Linked DNA regions of Caenorhabditis elegans. The protein of the gene in region 3 interacts with the protein of the main gene of each other region in a biochemical or structural test. Each region holds a gene or a part of one and is shown on either strand. Other genes may lie near its edges.

Region 1 (3,753 bases), on a different chromosome or scaffold from region 3:
TACAATCGATGGGAAGAAGAAAATTGCAAGAATAATCTTAATAGCTCCAGTTAGATTAGTTTTCGTTACCTTAGCTTACGTGCGAAATGTTAGACAGAGAAATTACGAATATTGGAATCACTGCAGCGATCATTCTTCAGAATGGAAAAATAATAATAATGAATTCTTAATTCCCTATTCTCATTTACACGTTGAACAAAGTGCTTGAATAAAAAAGAGCATGAAAGTAGAGCGAATTTATTTATCGCGGTGTGAAAAAAGAGATTACTCATGAATATCGAAGGGCCAAATAATCATCGTACAGGTAAAAAGTTGAAATGGTGATAGTTAAACAATACACGGAAGACGATAGGTGGTTAAAGCACGGGAGAATAAATAATAAAAATGATGATGAATGAATTACATCAAAAGAGTTCGAGTTCTCCTCGGTAATTTCCAGCTGGCAGCTTTGACGTATCCATGTTGTCAAAATAAGGATGAACGAGAGCTTTTTTCGCGTTGAGACGAAGTGATGGATCGTAGATCAGCAAACCCTGAAAATATTATTTTACTTGTTAAAGTACTATTTTAGAAATCTTACTTCAAGAAGAGAGAATGCAGTATCGTCCAAAAGGTGCTTTCCAGTCTTCTTGTCGTAGAACTTGTCACGGAGGAAATTCTCACGCCATTTTGGGAACGTCGCCTTGTAGTCCGGAAGTGATTCAACACCATTCCATTCCAACTCAGTCGGTGTGCCGAGAACTCTGAAGATGCGGAACAGCTCATCAATTTCTGAATCTCCTTGAAACAGTGGCTTCTTCGTGGCCATTTCAGCAAAAATGCATCCAATCGACCACATGTCTACGCCCATCGAGTATCTCTGAGCACCCATCAGAATTTCTGGAGCTCTATACCAGAGAGTGACAACCTGAAAACCGGACAATCATTGTATTGGTGTACAGAATGAATGCAAACTCACTTCATGCGTGTAAACGCGAATCGGGATACCAATAGCTCTGGCAAGTCCGAAATCGGCAAGCTTGATTGCTCCATTGTTGTCGACCAGCAAGTTCTGTGGCTTAAGATCGCGATGAATAACACGACGCTGATGACAAAAACACATAGCTTGAAGAATCTGGAACAATTATTCTTGTAAAGACATCGATTTTAAATATTTCCTCACTTGGAATGTGTAACTTTTAAGAGTTTCGAGCGGAAGGTATTCATCTTTTCCCAACTGATCCATGTATCGTTTCAAGTCGAAAGACAGGAATTCGAAGATCAGGAAAAGCCGGTTCTCCTGCATAATGACCGCTTCCAATCCAACAACATTCGGATGCTGGAGCTCTTTGAGCAAGCTGATCTCTCGCACAGCCGTTGATGGAACACCCTATAAGAATTATTGTTTGAAAAAACGAAACTGCTACAAAATTCAAATACCTCATCTTCACTTTCCAATCTGATTTTCTTCATAGCAACCATGGCATTGGTTCTTCTGTTTTTGCCTTTGTAGACGACTCCGTATGTTCCTTCGCCGATTTTTTCGAGCTTCGTGAAATCGTTGAGTGTGTAAACCGAATCTCCCTCGTGGGCCACTTCTCCTTCGCGAATAGGATCCATAACTAAAATTGGAAATGAATTTTGTCAGAACAATTGTAATACAACGATAGAAAAGGCGTAAGCGTGTAATTTTGAATCATTTCCACTGCCGCCGAAAAGGGGGGACAGTCGGTGCGAGACCATTGCTTAGTGAAAAGGCATGCACCTTTGATGACAATTTATTCCGAAAAGGAGAGTACGCGCTGAGAAGGATTGTTGTGAAACATTGCATTCATATGATAAAATTTAACGCAAAACTGTGCAGAAAAGAGAATAAATACAGGCCGGAAAATATAAAAATAACTACTCAAAATAATCATAAACTTGATTTGTTCTACTTTATGAGGCTTCCAACAAAACTAAACAGAGTTTCAAAGAAAAATCGTAATCTTGGCTTCGGAGGGTGGATGGCGAGAGTTGCTGCCCCGAAGACCATAGAGAGGTAATTTTTATTATTTAATTTTACATGATGAAAGCGAAATTTGGCAAGTAAGCAACGAATGCATTTTTAGGAAATTATTTATTCAGATAAATCAAAAAATAGAGCAGATTCCTTGAAATCCTAAAAAAGTGAGGACTTCGATTCTGTCTGAAGATGGAAGTTGGCGCCAAATTTTTGGCTGCGTAGCGACTCATTCTTCATTGTGATACGCAGCCAAACAACGTCCTTTCAAAAAAATTCGCGCATTTGATTTTCTCTCGATTTCTATACTTTTCTCAGGTTTGTACAGTGTTTTTCTTGCTAAGATCAATATTTTATTAGAAATGCATCAAATTTCTCAATCAAAACAATTTTTTCCTGCAAACCTTTTTTTCCAAATTTATTTTTTGAATTTCTCGTTGGAAACTAGTTGAAAATGCTAAAATAATTGATAAATCTTTGTTGCAGTATGTCCGAAGATCATCACGACGAGGAGCAATTCGACTCTGCCGAGTCCGGAGCTGCTGCTACTTTCCCGAAGCAATGCTCGGCTCTTCGCAAGAACGAGCACGTCATGATCCGAGGAAGACCATGCAAGGTAAAAAATAATTCAGTGAATTTTCCTAATTAGAAATTTTTTAGATCGTCGAGATGAGCACCTCCAAGACTGGAAAGCACGGACATGCTAAGGTTCACATGGTTGCCATCGATATTTTCACCACCAAGAAGCTTGAGGATATCTGCCCATCCACCCACAACATGGACGTCCCAGTCGTCAAGAGACGCGAGTACATTGTAAGTTGTTAATTAGTTTTTAAGAAGGCTTTCAAAAAAATCAACTTTGGACGGTTAAACAAATCTTTTGAAAAATGAGTTAATCAGCTGTAAAAAATGTTATTGATCAAATTTTCAGCTCATGTCGATCGAAGACGGGTTCTGCTCGCTCATGGATCCAGAATCTTGCGAGCTCAAAGACGATCTCAAAATGCCAGAAGGAGACTTGGGAAACACTATCCGTGAGGCTCTCGAGAAAGACGAAGGAAGCGTCTTGGTAATTATTTCGACATCCACCTTTTGAATCTGAAAATTTTGATTTTCAGGTTCAAGTCGTTGCTGCCTGCGGAGAGGAGGCTATTCTCGGATACAAGATTTCTACCAAGGAATAATTGCATTTATATACAATTTCATAATAAAAGCAGTTCCAGTTTAATCATCCCGCTTTTTATACATCATTCGAAAAACATCGGGCAATGAACAAGTGCACCTCCGCTGGTGTTGTGTAATGTGGGTGTTTTATGTGTCGTGTTGATTGTGATATCTGCTCACCAAACGAAAATGAATTGCTTGCAAACCGCGGAGGTGACATCTGTCCATGGAGTGTTAAATCAGATTCAGTTGTCAGACTTTGTAATCACAGTTCCTAGTTTTTGGAACTACATGGCCTGTGCAGCTTTTCCACCCTTTGTACACTACACCTTATTGCTTATTGAGTTGACCCCAGGTTGGCCGCGTGCCAATAGAGCTGTTCACTTTAAAACGTGTCCTCCTCCGCGACCTGCGAGCACCCCCTTAACCACGATAATATCTAGGTGCAGTATCAAAGACCCACCTTCCTCAAACCTCACTAGCCATCCTTCCTTCATCAATTGGCAATTTAAAAGAGTCGCATAAATTTCACAGTCACCCAGGAAGATTTCGTAAACTCTACGCTTCCATCATCATCTCGCCACATCTCGCACCTCCTGCCGCGTTTA
Region 2 (3,753 bases), on a different chromosome or scaffold from region 3:
TCCGATACTTGAACTGACACCAATACGTCTGAATTTCCTTCGATCATCGCGTCAATCATTTCAATCTTCTTCTTGAACGCCGATATTTCCGAGATTGCACTTCTAATGACTGTTAAGCAGTTAATTGTGAACACAGAAACTTCAATATCAGATTTCAGACGAGTTGCACTGAGTTGAACCGTCTGAATAAGTGGTTCCAAGACATATTCGTAGATCCTTTCTGGTTCAAGAAGAAGATTCAAATCTCCTGTTTTTACAGCAATTGAAATAAGCCCGTGATAAAGTGAAAGGCATTGCCGAACTTCTGGGACTGGAAGGAGATCATAGTGTGGTGATGTCATCTTTCTCATAAGTCCGTCCACGTGATGATTTATACCGGCAATACATACTTGACGAACTGTTTTGACGAGATCTGCGAGCATTATTGTAAAATAACTATCTTTTCGAATCAAAGTCTCGAACTTGTTTGCATAGAAAATTAAAATATTTCCCATTTTGAAAATTGTGATGGCATTTTTTTCTGTCGACAGCAGTTGCTCTACCCTAATCTGTAAACTATTATCATATATTATAGTCCAATAATTTAAACTTTTTACCTTGAACGGCGAAGTCAAAGATTTCAGGCATTCATCAAGAACGATCGGAAGATTTTCTGCGGAACAAATTGAGCTGAACAACTGTTTTTCTTGCTCCGTGAGCTCGTGAATCGAAGTCAGCATATCTCCAACTGCCTTCAGTGGTTCTGCCAACCCTTCAGGCATTTGGACAGCCATTTTGTTAATTTCAACAAACTGATTGAGCAATTCTTGTGAGCGAGATGAAATGTATTGGTCTGAAAACTAGGTTAATGGTGAGTAGATTTGAAGAACTAAACGTACCAATGGCAAGCTGGAATACAGCATCATTCTGACTTATGATTTTGAAAGCTTTAGAAAGAATTTGCTTTTTCTGATGAGAATCAACTGTCAGATTTTGAAATTCGCGTTTCAGATTGTTACAGATAATTGCATGGCTTCTTTCGTCAATTTTTTGCATTTTTTCCATCACTTCAAAAGCGGCAAGATGTCCTTGCTCCTGAACCATATTTCTGCAGTTCTCGCGAATTTCGTGGCACCTCTCAAGAACTTTGAAGAAAAATTCCGATAGATGACCACTTTGTTCACATTCGTCTAATTCTCGAAGCTCTTCACTTGATAAAGAATAGTTTTCGAGAAATTCATTTATCATATTACAACGGCTTTCTATACTCGCTTTCTTCTCCTTCAAGCTTGCTGTTTTCTGCACCAAATCAACACTTTTGAACTTTACAGTCTCCATTTGCTTTGATAAATTCGTGCATGTGGAGTTCATTTTTACACAGAGCTCATCGAATTTTTGCACAATGTTATTTATCTGAAATAGCAGATTTAAAATGAAATGATTTCAGGTTTATTCTAACTTTTTCGAACTCGCTCAAATATTCCTTGTTTAGTCTCAACTCGTATCGTTCTAGTTTATTGTGTAGTTTCCTATCAACATTTGAATCAAGGTTCATATCTTCGACCAGTGGAGTGATGAAATCAGCAATTTTGATGCAATCCTGTAAGAAATGCCATAAGTTTCGTTTGTAATTAATATTTTAGCTGACCTTGTCATTATACAGCTTCTTTGCACATGCAGTAGTCACTTTTTCTCGTAAAGGATTGACTGCTGATGAAGTTTTATCGATTACTGACATTTTATTGATTCAAATTCACCGAATTCTGCGAAAAAAATCGCAGAACTCAGTGGAATAGAAAATGCAGAATTGATTTATTCGCAACGTGTCAGCAACGACACTCCGAAATAACAGAGCGCGTGTTGTTTAGCAATGCCGCTCAACAACCCGCCAAGCAAAATTCATTCAAAGTGACTGCCTTTGTTCTAATTTTTGACGTGTTCTTGAATTAGTCGCGATTTTCTTTTTCCTTTCTCATTAAATTTTTTATTCCTCAATTTTATTATAATATTTCAACTCGCAGAATTACATTAATCATGAGCGGAAAGGAAAATACTGCTCCTGTGATAGACGATCAGAAGGCCGAGGTAATTGTTATTAAAATTAGAAAGGCATCAATTCTAATCTTCAGGTTATTTCACTTACGGAAGATAGCAGACCTCAGAGAGTTGACCAGGCAAGGGAAGAATCATGGTGAGAATAATTGATTTATTACTTTTACAATGTAATGGACTTTAGCTGGAGTCTTGATGATTTTGACGTTGGACGGCCTCTCGGAAAAGGAAAGTTTGGAAACGTTTTCATCTCTCGTGAAAAAAAGACCAAGCGAATCATAGCTTTGAAAGTACTCTTCAAAACACAGTTGCTTCAACTTGGAGTCAGTCATCAGTTGAAGAGAGAGATCGAAATTCAATATCATTTGCGGTATGTTTTCTCGAAGTCATCTCATCCAAATCAATTAATCAATATTATTTCAGTCATCCGAATATTCTCACTCTTTATGGATACTTTCACGATGACAAGCGTGTGTTCGTCATTCTCGACTATGCCAGCAGAGGAGAATTATTTAATGTCCTCCAATCACAACCTGGACACAAAGTGAATGAGGTCATTGCCGGAAGGTGTGATTTTGTAGATATTTCAGAAATATAGTAAATTTCCTCAGATTTGTGCGACAGCTGGCCAATGCGTTGCATTACTGCCATTCGAAAGGAGTTATTCACAGAGACATTAAGCCTGAAAATCTTCTTCTTGATTCGAAGCTCAATCTGAAGGTACGCGTATAAATATGGTTAACTAAGTACTCAAAAAGTCTTCTGCAATGTTCTCAGTGCATCCTTTGGTTCTCCGAGCCGAAAGAAGTCACTAGCTGAAAAAGAGTTTATACTCTGATCACACAGTAACATTGCAATAAAAGCTTAGCTCGAGATGCGTGTGCCGTTCTGCTTTTAATGCGATCTGGTTCCTTTTCTCCTCGGGACAATTACCGTAAAAATTAAATTCAACACATTTTATGCATTCTTTCTAAAAAATAAGACTTGTATTTCAGCTTGCCGATTTCGGATGGTCCGTCGTTGCTGATCACTCGAAACGCCATACATTGTGCGGTACCATGGATTATCTTGCTCCGGAAATGGTTTCCAATCAGCCACATGACTTTAATGTTGACATTTGGGCAATTGGAATTCTTCTCTTCGAAATGCTTGTTGGATATGCTCCGTTCGCCAATCAAACTGGTGATAAATTGATCGCCAGAATCAAGGAGTGCAAGATTTATGTTAGTAATTATGAACTAAATTTGTTAGAATCTTAATAAGCAGTTCTCCAACAGAAATATGTGCATGAAGTGATGGTTTGGGTAACCATTTCATCTTTTCATGTCATATATCTCCTGCCTCTCACGGTTTCATCTGTGAGAAGCTTCAAAGAACTGCAATAGAAGTCTAGCTCGAGATGCGTGTGCCGGTTTGCTTTTAATGCAATATGGTTCCTTTTCTCCTCGGGACAGTTCTCAAACATTCATTTCCATTTTGTTTCCCAAGTAGTTTCATCTAAATTGCTTCTTTTTTGCAGATTCCAAGTGTTGTGACTGACGGAGCTGCCAGTTTGATAAATGCAATAATCAAAAAGGAACCCCAAGAACGTCTCCCACTTGTTGACATCATGGCTCATCCGTGGATTAAGGAAATGAAGCAACGCGAAGACATTGAAGTTCCACTCTTCATTTCGACGCTCACGAAATCCAGTCGCAATAATTCTACAGCCAATCAATAAAA
Region 3 (3,753 bases):
AATTTTTTTTGTAAAAAGAAATTTTTACCAGGAAGACTGCCGAGCCGGTCGAGAAGAGATGGATGAGTTGCTGAGCGAGTCGCTGAAAATTTGAAATTGTTAAAAATTTTTTATTTTTTTTAAATTTTAAACAATTTTAGGTGAATTAAACATCTTTTTAAGAAAAAAAATGTTTTGATTCGAAATTCAAATTTTCCGATTTTTCTTTCAAAATTTCGATTTTTTTAATTCTCGACTTTCGGCAGGCAGGTAGGAACGAACCTGTAAGTCCAACCCAATAAGTTCCACGGCCACTGCTACGAATATTATCCGGAAGGCCTGGCAAATTGGCCGCGAACATTTCCACTTTTTTCGATGCAATCGTCAATTTCTTGATTCTCGCCATACTACATTCCGCGAAAATCACAGATTTCTTATCCTCCGTTAATTGAATTCCATTGGGAAAATACAGCTTATCAGCCAACACTTTTACGCTTTTTGTCGAGATTTTCAGATGAAAAATGCGTCCGTCGGCTTGATGTTCGAGGATTGCAGCCATAAAATGCCGACGGTCGTGACGTGTTGAACTATCCGAAATGATAAGCTCATCCTCTGAAATTACGTCCAAATCGTTCAAAAATCGAGGTTTTAGACCATCGATTGGCACCTTTGAGTCCAGGATTTGTGTGGAGATTGCTGGAAAAATTGGAGAAGATTTTCTGTTTTTTCTAGAAAATTAAAAAATTTTTTGAACAACATAACCCAGTTTTTGCCATTTGGAATTCGAAAAAGTGGTAAATTTGCAAGAAAAAGAGATTTTCCATGAAAAATAGAAAAATTCAGGAAAAACTATTTTTGATAGCTAAATTTGAAGTAAAAAACAATATCCAGAAATTTCAACAACTGGAAATGTAAAATTCTTGGATTTGTTTGAGCGAAATTCCAGAAATTCCACATACGATTTTGCTCATCGGTAAAATCGACAATGTAGACTCCCAAATAAGCGTCACAAACGACGAATTTCGGTTTTCCAGCCACAAGTCGACGGATTCCAAGAGGCCGTCCACATTCGGGCTCCGTATCGAAATGCCCGCAGTCTGGGAAGAATTTCGACTTTTCCGAGTATGAAGCCTTGCTCACAACCCGGCCGTCAACGATTTTCAGCACTTTTGCATCATTAACAGACACATAAATCGCCTCATCATCTACCACCATAGATTCGGGTCCAACAATTTTTCCGTCAAGGATGTGCTCGGCCTTTTCCAGACCCGCATTTATAAATAGGTTGCCAACGAGTGCTGGCGGGGGATCAAATCGATATTTTCTCGCCGAAGTGTTCTTCTCGTCACTGTATCGGTAGTAGAGAGCTCCCCAGGAAAGCAGAAGTCCGCTGAAAATTTGAAAATTAGAAATAATTGTAAATTTTTTTAGAAAAAAAACCTACACAAAACCGAAGAAGAAAAACTTTCCCATCGTTTTGCACATAAACTGCGGTTCGATTACCCTGAAATGTTAGAGAATAGATAAGATGTTTATCGCATTTTTTCGGGGAACATAGATTAGAAAAATAAAAAATATTTGTGTGTTTTTTGAACACAAAATTTGGAGTTTCTTGAGGAGACCTCACAACTTTGTGTTTTGTAGACATGAACTCTTCGGGAAAACGTTTAATTTTATGACTATTCACGTTAAAAATAATTAAACTTTTACAGTTAGAACTCTGAAAAAACTAAAATTGCAAATATGCTAAAAATGTTGCAATTAAAAATGTATTTTCACAATAAGTGTATATAATTGTTCCGGTAATTATGATTTCTCAGGGTTATGTTAGGTGTGGTGGCTCAAACTACGGTGCGTGTTTGTGTGCAAACACCGCTGCGTACCATGTATTTTATTTTACGACAAGCAATTTTTTCTTCTTTTTTATATTTTCTAATGTGATTTTCTTTAAATTAAACGCTACTTTCCGTGATTTTATTTTATTTTTTCATTAATTATTAAAAAAAATAATTTTCCAGCTATTCGAGCACTAGAAACTAGATGGAATTCAATGTCTCGTCGTTTTGCGAAGGGGAAGAGTCTAGACAACTCAACAGCACCGCGTTAGAGCATGATGAGAATGGGCGAACCGGTAATATCGATTTTTTTAAAAATTTAATATAAAATATTTAAATTATATCTTAAACTTACAGCTGAATGGAAGGTGTCGCCAATCGCCGCAGAGCGTCCCAGCAAGATTTTTCCGAACAAAGCGAGAAGCGGGTTCAAAACTCCGCTAAGAAGCATTAATGTACGAATGAAAATTAGAAAAATCTCTAAAAACCTGATTTTCAGACTACTGACCCGTCAACTTCCGGATATGACTCTAAAAGTATCACACCACAGCAAAAGTGAGCTTTTTTAGGACTTTAAATTATATTCTAAGCCTAAAAATCCAATTTGCAGCGATCCCAAGCTCTCAATGTCTGCAGAACTTTCATCATTCATAGCCAACAACAGCCTAAACCCCTTGGACTCGATTCTTCTCAATTCCCTGCACAAATCCATCAACTTCAGCCCTCGCGTCGTTTTTTCTGTAATTATTTACGATTTTTAAGAGGAAATTCTTGTGTTTTTTCCAGCAAGAATCGTGTAGTCAGCAGAAAGACAGCGAAAAATTTCAATGGAGCATCGAACAGTTGGCCATTTTGAAGCCCGCGCATATTTCAGACGATGAAATTGCGGCGAGCTATCGATCACCGTAAGGAACGGGAAACAACTGAGCACTTTGTGCGAAGATTCTAGGAAATTGGCTGAATAATCCCGATTTTTTCCAATAAAATCAGTTTTTGTCCTGAAAAATGGAATTTTTTTTAGCAAAATTTCAAGCTTTTTAGATGAATATTTGATTTTTTTGACGCAAAAAAAAAACGCCAAAATTCTGAAATCTTCAGCTGATTTACATACCTTTTTGAATTAAAAAAATCTAATTTTCCGCCAGTTTCTAATACATTTTAATACTAAAACTCTGAAAAATCACAAGCTGTCGGCTATGTTTTGAATTTTTTTTCGAAAATCCAATTTCGGCCGGAAAAACGGGCCTTATTCTTATTTTTCGCTTGAAATTCATTTTCTACAGCAAAATTTTCGGTTTTTGGAGTCTGAAAATTAATTTTTACCCCAAAAAGTTAGTTTTTATTCAGTTGTCATAGAAAACGGCTAAAATTCCCAATTTTTTTTCAATTAAACAACCCTTTAAAAAATATTTTTCAACTTGAAATTTGGCTTTTTATGCCAAAAAATCCCATTTTCCAGCAGATTTTCATAATTTTTTAAAAATAAAAACCCTCGAAATTCTTTATTTTCAGGCAATTTTCTGCTTGAAAATTCAAATTTTCCTCCAAAAATTTGGCAAATAATCCGATATTAGCCTTTTTTTTCTAATATTTATCCAAATTTTTATATATTTTTTTCAGAATTCCCGAGGTGGAGGAGAAGATTCAGGAGGTGCTCAACGAGTATTGGACGAAAAATGTCAGTTATATTCCATCTCCAGACGGTCCCCGATACATAAATCTATCACATCGTGATGGTACAGTAACCACGTTCACTTATGGCGCCGAAGAGAATGCCACGTCATCATCGGCTCCAGGAGCAGCTGCTGGAACTCCTGCATCACTGGCGAATATTGTACGGAAAAAGGAGGCTGTGAAGGCCGCCTACGCCACGTCATCACCCAAACAAAGGCCTAGAAAGTATGGAAATTACCGGAAAATAACGGAAAATTCAAAAAAA

What was found.
Region 1: of the proteins of spat-1 (region 3) and cdk-1, one has a biochemical effect on the other in vitro, tested with the Caenorhabditis elegans proteins (one study listed by BioGRID).
Region 2: of the proteins of spat-1 (region 3) and air-1, one has a biochemical effect on the other in vitro, tested with the Caenorhabditis elegans proteins (one study listed by BioGRID).

Annotation. Positions count from the first base shown.
Region 1 is NC_003281.10:9,745,320-9,749,072, reverse strand, and holds cdk-1 (Cyclin-dependent kinase 1), read right to left. Parts: upstream 1,602-3,753; 5' UTR 1,600-1,601; coding exon 1,420-1,599; intron 1,370-1,419; coding exon 1,163-1,369; intron 1,115-1,162; coding exon 959-1,114; intron 908-958; coding exon 581-907; intron 534-580; coding exon 405-533; 3' UTR 221-404; downstream 1-220. Other genes in the region: T05G5.4 (uncharacterized protein), read right to left, coding at 1-36, 80-133; iff-1 (Eukaryotic translation initiation factor 5A-1), read left to right, coding at 1,920-2,020, 2,468-2,597, 2,642-2,794, 2,913-3,050, 3,100-3,165. UniProt on the Caenorhabditis elegans protein: Plays a key role in the control of the eukaryotic cell cycle. Required for entry into S-phase and mitosis. Acts as a component of the kinase complex that phosphorylates the repetitive C-terminus of RNA polymerase II.
Region 2 is NC_003283.11:8,219,488-8,223,240, forward strand, and holds the start of air-1 (Aurora kinase), read left to right. Parts: upstream 1-2,000; 5' UTR 2,001-2,013; coding exon 2,014-2,064; intron 2,065-2,108; coding exon 2,109-2,170; intron 2,171-2,215; coding exon 2,216-2,401; intron 2,402-2,454; coding exon 2,455-2,598; intron 2,599-2,642; coding exon 2,643-2,751; intron 2,752-2,793; exon of another isoform or gene 2,794-2,962; intron 2,963-3,026; coding exon 3,027-3,254; intron 3,255-3,291; exon of another isoform or gene 3,292-3,486; intron 3,487-3,550; coding exon 3,551-3,751; 3' UTR 3,752-3,753. Other genes in the region: cogc-6 (Conserved oligomeric Golgi complex subunit 6), read right to left, coding at 1-548, 597-832, 879-1,392, 1,439-1,579, 1,628-1,717.
Region 3 is NC_003280.10:14,526,757-14,530,509, forward strand, and holds the start of spat-1 (Protein aurora borealis), read left to right. Parts: upstream 1-1,995; 5' UTR 1,996-2,019; coding exon 2,020-2,110; intron 2,111-2,171; coding exon 2,172-2,269; intron 2,270-2,313; coding exon 2,314-2,369; intron 2,370-2,424; coding exon 2,425-2,554; intron 2,555-2,600; coding exon 2,601-2,719; intron 2,720-3,434; coding exon 3,435-3,713; intron 3,714-3,753. Other genes in the region: F57C2.5 (Strictosidine synthase conserved region domain-containing protein), read right to left, coding at 29-82, 262-675, 939-1,369, 1,424-1,464.